3 linked regions of the Xenopus tropicalis genome follow. The main gene of each other region encodes a partner of the protein of the gene in region 2 in a complex. Links are inferred from orthologs where the notes say so. Each region holds a gene or a part of one and is shown on either strand. Other genes may lie near its edges. The genes, in order: ppp1r8, ttf2 and akap17a.

Region 1 (2,987 bases), about 79 Mb from region 2:
TCTGTGCTGCAATATATGCAGTTTACTAGCAAACTGAAAAGCACAGTTCTCTTTCTGAAGGTTTTTTCATCCTAGATACAGCACCAGGCACATAATGAGGGAACCACAGATCTCCATATAGTGCATGCAAGAAACCTATTGGGAGGGGGTGCACTTGCAATCGCTGCTCCCTCAGTAGTTACACCACTATACAGCAATGCACCTTCTTTTCTACATGGGGAGAACCAATCAAAGTAGTGTTAAGAAGGAATTACACCATTAACATTAGACTGATGTTAAATACAAAAACTTTACTACTTCTGCTACCTGATTATAGAGCAACATCCTCTTATTTTTAGCTACTGGTGAATTCTACTGTCTGCTTGATGAGTATTCTGGTTTTAAATAAACATTCTCCTCTGCATTCGAATATGGAATAGGTGGAGGATTAGGTACTGAATTTATGAGATACACTATCTTCTTGCTGGTAAATGTAACCCTGACTGGCGGCCACTGCATAGTAGCATGGGCAAATAAAAAGAAAATTAATGTGAGTTAGCTTTCACCCATTTACACACACACACAGTCAAATAAAACAAAGCAAGAGGAAAAGTTTACATAAATGTATAGAATTCACATATTACATATAAAAATATCTCTAAAGCTGTACAGTTGCATGCAGATTTCTATACACTGTATATAGGTGGCCAACATAAAACACATTGATTCTATTCCCCTTTGTCAGTAATATATTTTTCCCATCACTGCTGCCTCTATGTGACTGATATATTGATTTAGCGTGCATGAACTCGTCATTTTTCTGGAGGAGTTTTTCTTACCAGTGAAACATTTATGTTCAGTAAAAATTGAGGTTGGTTCATTATCAAGAGTGGATTTTAAGACATCCCTATGTTGACTGATTTCTTTTCATACAACTAAAGCAAAAAGGACCATACATGACAATGATAACCTGGCTAAAAAATGTGCCAGTTTCCTTCTTTCTGGCAGACACCTGAAAAACAAAGTGTTGGCTTATTGTCCCAGTATCTCCCTACATGTGTTATAGCAGTCATCTTAGATGAGCAATGATGGAGTGGGTTTCTTCCCTGGCCAGGCCTCCTTGGCATACTTCTTTTTCTTGGGTTCATTAACAGCTTCAGCAGTAAAGCTGGATGGAGCAGGGGCAACAGTTATGGGAGCTACAGTAGCAGTGGTAGGTGCAAGATCCACCTCTGGCGCAAGATTAGGGAAGGGCATGCCGCCCATCAGGGCTGTGCCATGGCCTCCAGCTGTCTGTGCGCCACCTTCAGCATGCGTAGGAGGAAGCCCACCATAGAGGCCTCCAGTAAACGGGAAGTTCTGGACACGCCGTCCCACTGAATCTTCTAGACTGAGGGAACCAGGAATTTCGGTTTTCTTTTTCTGTTGTGAAAAAGGAAAGGGAATTATGGTTTTCAGAACAATATAACAAGACATTCCCTTAGTAGTTAAATGTAAATAAACATTCTATACCTAATGTATTCACATGGCTGACAAGTAGCAGATAATGGAAAAATATACAAATCTGTGATTCAGACACTTAATTATATTAACAATTAAGTGTCTGAATCTGATCAATATTTGATCTTTCCTTGATGCAGATAATACATCAGTATGCAGTACAAGGGATGAATTTTACAGATTCTCAGAATGTTTATGGAAATGGCCCAACAATTCCATGTGCAAAATGAAAAGTTGTCTTTCAGATAACTATTCTTTCTTGACAGTGTCATAGCTCTGGGTTTTTTTTCTCAAAGTTTGTTAGTAACATGACAAAGTGTATTACACACGTAATCAAAACATACTTAAACCACAGTACATCATCATGCAGATGCTTGGTTACTTAGATATTATTTCTCTCCTCACGGGTTTCTAAGACAGTACAATTTAATCCACACAATTAGCCTAGGATTTCTTTAATAAATTTAAGTGCAAATTTCAGGTATGGACTCCATTTTGTTGACCAGTTAATGGTACGGGTTACTAGACAAGTAGCAAACTTAGACTGTTTATTACATTACACCAAAACAGATAAAATAGTTACTACTTTGCCTATATCTCATTGCTTATGGTCAGTGTGCCGCCATGTACTGCATTTTAAGCTTTCCCTAAATTAACTCTGGAAAAATGTAAAATTAGTGTTATACTGTACTTAGACACCCTTGCATAGTTAGTGTGGAACTGCTGTATGTTTGTCATGCGCCAACAGGCAGAAGCGTGAGCAAAAGGGCCCAATAATGCGCTCATGTGAACACAGGCCTAAATACAAATGCATGTATTACATCAATGCTATTAAATAAGACACTTTCATCAAGATAAACCCTACTTGTGTAAGTGCTTATAAACATGGTCTCTCATACAGTACATGGAAGCCTTTAAGTAATAACTGCACTTCTACACTGAAACTAGTATTAACAAAAGCGTCTTAAATAGAGAGGTCATCTTAAAAAGTACTTTAGTAGAGTGTAGACAGCAGTTTTCTGTGAAAAGTAAATAATCTAAATTGTCATGTATATTTGAATTCAAGTTTAATTGGTTTCTTTCAAGTGTAAGTTTTGTTTTTGCTAAGTCTGCTGCCTTATGTCACAAAACATCTGCTAAAGGGGAAATCCTCACCCTCCCCCCTTGTCACTTTTTACCCAGTAGCGGTCAGCCAGTTGCAGAGCTGCATTCTGGTGCTGCAGTCACAGCTAAACCCTTGTGGTTGCATGTTGGAGGGGCCCACATTTATGTATCAAAAAAATAAGGACATCCTCCCTCTCACCCACATGTAGGTTCTACTGTTCAGGAATAAAATCTGAGAAACTGCCCTTGCTCGGTTCTAAATATTTTTAAAACTTTTCCTTCTGCACTACTTTTATTACTTCACATACCATGTTTCCGGAACAGTTACTGCATATTCTTACATTTATCAGTTTTCCTCGATTCACTTATTATTTACATTTTCTTCTACTCTTTAGATATTTTAT
Region 2 (4,413 bases):
CCATGCGGTAATTATTGACAGTGGCTGTAGAAGCAATAGTACAGTGCGACGAGAAAGTATGAGTTAAACATAGTTGCAAGAAAATGTGGTAAAATTTTGTTATTATAAACTGAAACTATGGCATGGGGCCCCAGGGCTGCACAATATAACATTTATTTTGGCATCTAACACTCTTTAAATTTTGAACCTCAATGCACATAATAACAACGATTTCAAAGTCAATTCTGAATGAAGCTCACAGAATGTTACAAGGTAAACAATGCTTATGAGTATACAAAAAAAAGTTATCTTTTTACAAATATGTTATACCTCAGAAAAGCTGCTCCAAGCTTTGTTTTCAAAAAATCTAATTTGCTTTTTGGCATTAAAGACAACTTAAGCCCAATTTAAATGTGCACTTCTGTTGTTTATGAGCTTGCAGGTGTTTATCGGCACATTGGACACTGCATGGGCAAACCACCTAACCACCTAGGAAAGCGGGATGTAACAGATAGGCACGATATGCAAAGGCACAACTGCAGAACTTATTTATTAAGTAAAAGGACACTATCTCGAGACATGTAGACAACCTGTAACCTGGTATGATAAATTCAATAGCTGGATAAAACAACACTAGACATGCCTTTTGAAGTCAGCTAATCTTAAATCTTTATTTTATCACAAAACAATTCTAGGAGAACAGCAGCTTTCTTGTCCACAGCACATATTAACTACCGCCACAACCAAATGTTTGTTCCAGTTTCTCATATAATTCCAAATCTTTTGTGTGAAACCACTAGGCCCACTGTACCAGAAAAGCACTTTGGAAATCAATATAGGCAATAGGGCGAACTGTCAGGTGTTATTGTGGAAATATCCATAAGCTGTAACTTCGATATAGGAACCAAGGTCAGCTCCGGCAAAGCTGAGTCATATCTGCAACCTGAGAAACCATCAGCCTGCAAAACTATGCCTCTACCTCTTCTGCGAGACGCCAGTGCTCTTTTTGCCATTAGGCTGACAACGATTTGCTTCCTTGCAATGCTTCAGAAGAGAATCATAGATAGTGACCCTTGACAGTGAAGCGAGACCTTGCTGCGAGCCTGCGCTCATTCAATGGTCTTGGGGACGGTTAGTAGCACCAACAACTAGTTTCGATCATCTGAAGATGTGTAGCACCATCAAGCTGAACTAAAAACTCAGTTTTGGATCCTCCTGTGATAATGACGTACACAGCTCCCGCTGCACCACTCTGGGATAAAAGAGGAACCTATTTCATCAAATGAATATCACGGCTGGCGTGTACAAAGCGTACGTTACTCACCGGTGTAAAGGTAGGAGCTATGACTCTAGGGACACCATTTTTTCAGAGCGCTTCTCCAAGGCCCAGTATTGTTGAGAGGTTCCAAAGTTAGATGTAGTGCACATTGGGCAGGTATGCTAAAAAGCAGATAATTTGTGGGTAATAGTGACCGGCAGGCACCCGGACTTGGCAGGTCTAATACACTTACCTAATCAAGAGTTGGCCTGTCCCTGGTGGACCAAAAATGGTATGTAATATGACGGGCAGGGGCAGGATTGGGGTAAATAGTGACGGGCTGGGCATAGTTTGCGCGTTTAGGGGGTCCCGTCCTTGCGAACAGGCTAAGGAAATAGTGTCTAGGCTATTGCGTGAGCATGTGGCCACAGCCACTATTGTTACACTGAGATGACAGAGTGTCGATTGTGAGCTAAACTCAAGTATTGGGGAGGCCAGCAATTGTCATCCCAGTTCAGCGGAGCCCGTAGATCCATTATCTCACTCATATCATGTCGAATCATCTTTGGCTCATGTTTTGTTAAACGATTCATCAGAAGGTCATTTCATCTTCACTGATATGTCTCTGCTGGCCATATCCTGTCCTGGCAGTGTATCCTGCACATCCTCCTCCTAGTGAAGCGTGGAGGAACAAATTTTCCATGAAACCACGAGAACGAGCAGCTGCCCAATGAACTTTTTGCACCATCCATAAGCCGATGAGGCCTATGGAATTAGCGTTTTGAAGTTTATGGGGATTACTGTATTTCTTCTGCTGATCAACCCACAACTGCTCTTTTGCGTTTAATATTGACCAAAGCCAGCTTCTCTCGACATGTGAGGCTCTTAGTATATGGTAGCTGCCTTCTGAAAACTAAGGCGGTTTGGCGTAGCTTATATCAGAGGCTCTCATTGCCTAAGGCAGAATAAGCTTTCTTTTGCGTAATAGCTGACGATGCCCAGAGGTGGTAGAGGTAAAAACATGTGCACAGTGAGAGAATGAGTGCTGATCTTTGTCTCATGCTTTGTTGCATATATCAGTAGAACAGACGTCATATAGAATGAGCTGTTTGATTGATTCAATGGGTGGTAAGATTTGGAAGAGTGTTCAACGGTAGTTGCACAGAAGAGGTATATGGTGCATTGGGTAATAGTGACATAGCAATAGAATGCCTGAAAGTGCTCTTGAGGTATTTGTTGAGAAAGTTTGCGCTTCCCCCTGCATTTGACATCTGATAAAGCAGCTATGAGGTAATAACTGAGCGAGCATAGTGACCCCTGGGCTTTAGTATTGTCTAAGGACATTATTACCAAGACCTGGTCAGAAAATAAGTGTACCTGACAGGTGTGCTTAGTATGGTATCCCATTTACCAACTCTCACTGAGGACATCTCGCCTGAGCTCTTAGACAACGGGTTCTTCTTCCTGCCACTGCCATGTCTTGCACACTCCCTTAATTTTTAAAACATTATTAGTTGTCAAGAATAGAGTGACTTACGCAACTGTCACTGTCCATATTCTTGCGTGACATTTTGCCAAAGTTAAAAATGCTGTCTGCAATAGTTATTCAGGCCCCAATTTCCCAACTTGTCAGAGTCATATAATGGCTGAGTTACTTCTCAGCTATACTTCGGTAATAGTTATCTTGGCAGAGGTGCAAGTGGAGATCTTGCGTGATGCCGTGCGAGGTAAAAGTGTACTCTACAGCGAAGATGGGTCGCATACTAAGATTATCTGGTGCAAGATGTGCGACGAAATAGCTGAACTTGCTGCCTTCTGTTGAACGGTAAGAAGTAGGCTCAATTAGGCTCAGAACAAAAGCATCTCTTTGCCATTCGCTCAGGTGAGTAATATAAGTCTGTAACCGTGGTCCAAGGGGCAGTATTGGTAGCTTGCATTGGTGGATCTGGGAAAAGATAATAGAAAAATGAAAAGGACAAGAAATACTAAAAGCGTAATCTCGGGATTTACTTCCAAACATGCTTGTACTTGTTCTCAATCACAAAATAAGCTATGACCTATGTTAAGAAGTGCAATATAGAGTGGAACGGGCAGGTATAACATGTGGAATGATATCTGTAGCGCGATTCTTTACTTAAGACATGTGACCTTAAGTAGGCAAGCTACGCAAGGGGTCTTTAGATAGATGTAAAATATAGAGATTCTGGATTTTTTAGTTATTCATGATTTTTTCATGTTAATGGGTTCTTGAAACGACAAATAGTGACGGGACGAGATGTGTGACGTACCAGCAAGCAAGGAACTTGAGCAGTATTGTAAACAAGGGTGTATTATGTATAGATAACGGTTTGTATGAGCACCATTCGGGCACATTATAATGATGGGTGGTATATCTCTATATGTGTACAACAGCACAGCACGTAGTATTGGATTGATATGGTGTTGGTTATTAAGTGACGCAATTTTCCGGCAAAAAAACAGTAGTTGTGGGAACAGGTACTTGCAAAAAGTATTAGCTGCTGCATTAGGTGTGCTTGAAACACGGGTCTTAAATGCCCGTAAAGATCCGCTGTACCTGGTGCATGCGTGCACCGCATGTACCAGTCTGAGTTGGTTCAGTGCAACGCATAGCAGCTCAACTCCGGATCTATGGAACAGGGTACAGAAAGGAGAGAGAGACTAAAAAATTAAAAAATATAAAGAGAGAAAAGCATGATGTACTGAAATCCCTTCTAATAAAGATTGATCTTTCCCGCTAATAGCTACGTGGTTGCTGCCAGATGTCTAGACAGTTTACCCTGCCGTGTATTTAGCTGACTAGAGGCAAGGTATGTATGAACCACCTTTGTGTGCAAGCCCCAATAACAGGTATAGCCCCTGTGAAATTAAAAAAAAAGCACAAACTTTGCCCACAAAGGAAATGTAACCTCTTGTAGAAACCAGCAAAGTAAGAGGCAGTGTTTAAACAGGTCACATGGTGAATAGGTGCGCTACCTGCTGGTTTCTATGGGGAATATGTAGTTACACGCGTGTATGGGGACTTTGTTACGTATGTGAGTGTACATAACCCCTTTAGGCTGTGCGGACCAGAGTTTGACCTCACCTGTGGTAGAGTCCCACTGCATTTCAAACGCAAAACACAATCCATTTTATGCTTACAAACAACCGGTCTGTGA
Region 3 (4,199 bases), about 38 Mb from region 2:
ACCGTACACATAGATCTATAAATGGTTTCAGCCTTTTAGCAATACTAAGAATACATTGCCAGAAAGGCTTTAGTAATGTTTAATAATTTGCAGAGCAAAGCTCAAGTTGCTCAATAATTCCAAGCCTGTTCTAGAAGACCACAGAATGGATTTGCATGAAATAACGCTGCACAAAAGCACACCTTAATATTGCAGGCCACAGCTTTCCCATCTTCGCCTTTGTACATAAGTTTCATACCACGCAGTGCGTTCATGGCTTTTACAAATCCTACATATTCCTTGTATTGTACGTAGGCTTCAAAGTTCAAGTGGCCACCAAAGCTAAAAGTATGGAAACTCCTGCCTGTCATTTCCTCTCTGTAGGGATCCAGCATAGGTATGTCCACCATCCGAATTTCCCCAAACAAATTGAAAACCTTAATAAGAACATCTTCATTTGGCTTTTCTGAGCCAGAATCCTTCAACGCAAACCATTTGCAAGGCAGGCCTTCCAAATGAATTGTATCAGGTCTTTCTCCTGGAAGGCTCTCATTCATATCTTTTGCGTCACGGAAAAAAGAATCCCAGTCATGTCTGGTGGGAAAGTCTAATTTGTACTCAACCGCTCTGACTTTCAATATATCAGAGAACCCACTTAGCTTTATACTCTTCCCATCAAGAGCTGCTAGAAAAGTCTTTACTAAACTTTTGTTCTCTACTTCCCCTTCAAATCTGATGAAGTCCATGGTGCTTTTTGAAATGCGTAAGGTGGAAAATTGATGGTTGTTCACCATGCCTTTCAGACGTTCCATTACTTCCCAGTTAGATATGGACTTTCCAGGTTGCTTCAGCTGCGGTAGTGCCACGCTGATAATCATCTTTGTGATAGGCTTCAAGTAAAGCCCACAAGAGCCACACAGCTCTACAGCTTCCGATGTATCATGCACTATCGTAGCTGCAGCCATAATCTTGAAGGGGCTGTTAATATATAAAGTAGAAATGTTAGGTAATATCTGCAACTTCTTTTATTAAAATGTTGCCTTTAAAATCAAAAGACAAGCAAGTGAAATAATTTATATGTACCAAATTACACAGCACATATTCCTAATATATTAACAAGCATCCCATTTGTAAATAAAACAGACCTCAAATACTGTGTGTACTGCATACAGCTGCTACAAATGGCTGCATCCATACCAGCAAGTGAGACTGACTGTGACACCCTTGACTCAACTATGCCCCACTTACATTCACAGATGAAGGTAATTATGTACATTCACACTTATGATTATTGCTCTCTCTGCATCTCAGCAAAGGGTTCATACTGTCACTGTGATTGATTTTTAGAAAAGGTACCAGAGAAATGAGTAATTAAACGGTTACCCTACCAAACTCAATTGCTAGGTTGGTAGTTTTACATATCAGAAGGCAAAATGCAACACTGAATAATTATAACATGGTCTACAGGATATTTGAGCAATGGCAAACATGGCATCATATTTTTAGCAAGTCAATTTCCCAGACAAGATGCAGCGTAGCTGCACAGCCATCTCATTAGATTTTGAAAGAGAACTGAACCCTAAATAAGAATCTGTCTAGAAATGCTGTACTCTGTATTAAGAATTTGCTGTATGGGCCAAGAACTTTCTCACAGCTGTAACAGTAATGTTTCAGGCCTTCAGTGTTCAAAGCAGCTCCATATCATGAAATCTAGTTAGGCCATCTTTTGAGTGTCAGTGACATTGCACATGCTCAGTGTGCTCTGGGGTACTGCAGAGAAGCTAAGCTTAGGGTTCAACTCAATTCATAAAAACATTACAGAAAATAAGTTCACATCTGTTACAGAGGCTGATGCTACAGGGCTAACGCCAATTCTGCTGCACTGATTTCTGCGCTGCCATATACTGTGATCTGGGATATAATACCTGAATGTGCTGCCATATACTGTGAATTTGGATATAATACCTGAATGTGTTGCCATATACTGTGAATTTGGATATAATACCTGAATGTGCTGCCATATACTGTGATCTTGGATATAATACCTGAATGTGCTGCCATATACTGTGAATTTGGATATACGGTAATACCTGAATGTGCTGCCATATACTGTGAATTTGGATATAATACCTGAATGTGCTGCCATATACTGTGAATGGGATATAATACCTGAATGTGCTGCCATATACTGTGAATTTGGATATAATACCTGAATGTGCTGCCATATACTGTGATATGGGATATAATACCTGAATGTGCTGCCATATACTGTGAATTTGGATATAATAGCTGAATGTGCTGCCATATACTGTGAATTTGGATATAATACCTGAATGTGCTGCCATATACTGTGATCTTGGATATAATACCTGAATGTGCTGCCATATACTGCGAATTTGGATATAACACCTGAATGTGCTGCCATATACTGTGAATTTGGATATAATACCTGAATGTGCTGCCATATACTGTGAATTTGGATATAATACCTGCACTGTATTGTGCATTGTCACTAAACTCGGGTATCTGACCAGCAGCAAAATATGGGGAGCATTTTCAGAGGCATAAAGTCTTTCTAGCAGGTACACAAAACAAAATGAACTGTAGCATTCCTAGTCTAATTCATTGTTGAGGTTCAGTTCCCCTCAAACAAACCAGCAAGCGGAAGGCTTTGCGTGTGACATCCCGTATTGTTGTTTTCCCTACGCGCATGAATCCCAAGGAGAGGTAGTACAGGGCAGGTGCATACCGCTCTCCCGCTTTCCGTAACACAACCCGGAGTCCCAGACGGCTGCTTAAACGTCCCGAAACGCCATTAGCGCCCTACTCTCTAGATCCTGCCGTACAGCCAACTCCAACGTTCCGCCGCTCATCTCGCGAGACTATGATGTCACGGAGCCACGCAGAGCAGCGCAGTGACGCTAAATCCTTCCGCCGTGAGGCTCTGTCGTGCAAGGTGTCACGCAATCATGTCTGTGGGGGCTGCAGCAGGTCCCACTGCCCGCATTTCCTGAATTAGAGTGGGCTTCAGCTCCCAATATTTGGCCATTCATTGCTTTCTTCACTTTCTCTCCTCCTTACACATTTTAGAAATTACACCTGTGCCAGGAACAAAAAAACCTCCTCCTCAGGGTGGGGGAGCATATTTTTCACACTACATGGTCAGAACAAGGGTAAAACGGAAGTTGTATTTTACTCTTCCTTTATACTTTTATAAACTTGGAATTGTGCAGGTTCCTTCCCTAAGAAAGTTCTGGAACCCAAAAGAACATTGGCAGGGAGTTCCCAAACAAAATGAGACCCATTTCTTTGCTGCTTGCCAGCAATACCCACTACCACTGGTGCCTCTGCTCCCAAAAAATAGTAATTCATGTTCAAATTAAGGCAAAGTGAAATGAAGTAATCTATTTTTCTGAGCTTTTTGTGCAAATGAGGCAGATGTTTCACAGATTAGGGACAAAAGGGCTAATTTAGCAGAATACAACGAAAAGTTAACAAGGTTTTAGGCTCTTTTGTTTTATCCTTGGCTGAAACAGAAAGGCAGGAGCCTCTGCCATAAAAAAAAAATGTGCCAGTGAATTATACTCCTCTAAATATAGAAAGGTTGTGCTTAAAAAGTTGTGCTTGAACTGATTTATTGAGAAATTCCACCTAAACCCCACTAGTATGGGCCATCTGTCCCACTTCCTGCTGGGTGAATTCTCTGGATGTGCAGGGGAGCCACAGGCTCTCAGTACAGATACTGTAGTAAAGGGACCAATCAGCAGCTAGGCTGACCTGATAGGGAACTGAAGCCTGTCTTTGCTTGTGTGAGTGCAGGGCTGTGATTGGCTATCCCCCTCCTACTGTGCTTCTGGCAGGGACCGTTAGGACACGCCCACTCTTCATTTCAAACTCGGACAGAGAACTGATAGGATCTATAGGGAGCTCCAATAAAGGGGCCATTTTTACAGACTGTATTTAATTTTAGCCCAAAGTGAAACCAGCACCATATATTATTCATAATTGCCTACAAAATAAGGGTTTTTCCATTTATCCAATGAGTGTGTAGGGACAGAGGCAGCAGGGAATGTGTGATTTTAGAAGAAGAGAGAAGGGGTGGCACTCGGGTTCAACTTGCATAGATGTTGGTTTGCCTTAGGGCTAAACTACATGGGAGATTTTGTAGAATGGTACAAGTTGGATGTAGATGCATGGGTCAAACTAATCAGAATGATAGA

The links.
Region 1: ttf2 (region 2) and ppp1r8 share a complex: the UniProt entries of both Homo sapiens proteins name them as parts of the spliceosome. The link is inferred for Xenopus tropicalis from reciprocal best matches to the Homo sapiens genes TTF2 and PPP1R8.
Region 3: ttf2 (region 2) and akap17a share a complex: the UniProt entries of both Homo sapiens proteins name them as parts of the spliceosome. The link is inferred for Xenopus tropicalis from reciprocal best matches to the Homo sapiens genes TTF2 and AKAP17A.

What each region holds. Positions count from the first base shown.
Region 1 is NC_030678.2:79,501,870-79,504,856, forward strand, and holds part of ppp1r8 (nuclear inhibitor of protein phosphatase 1), read right to left. Parts: intron 1,402-2,987; coding exon 1,054-1,401; 3' UTR 888-1,053; exon of another isoform or gene 1-887. UniProt on the Homo sapiens protein: Inhibitor subunit of the major nuclear protein phosphatase-1 (PP-1). It has RNA-binding activity but does not cleave RNA and may target PP-1 to RNA-associated substrates. May also be involved in pre-mRNA splicing.
Region 2 is NC_030678.2:616,429-620,841, reverse strand, and holds the start of ttf2 (transcription termination factor 2), read right to left. Parts: upstream 2,808-4,413; coding exon 2,775-2,807; intron 1-2,774. UniProt on the Homo sapiens protein: DsDNA-dependent ATPase which acts as a transcription termination factor by coupling ATP hydrolysis with removal of RNA polymerase II from the DNA template. May contribute to mitotic transcription repression. May also be involved in pre-mRNA splicing.
Region 3 is NC_030678.2:38,922,346-38,926,544, reverse strand, and holds the start of akap17a (A-kinase anchor protein 17A), read right to left. Parts: upstream 2,847-4,199; 5' UTR 2,729-2,846; intron 958-2,728; 5' UTR 945-957; coding exon 183-944; intron 1-182. UniProt on the Homo sapiens protein: Splice factor regulating alternative splice site selection for certain mRNA precursors. Mediates regulation of pre-mRNA splicing in a PKA-dependent manner.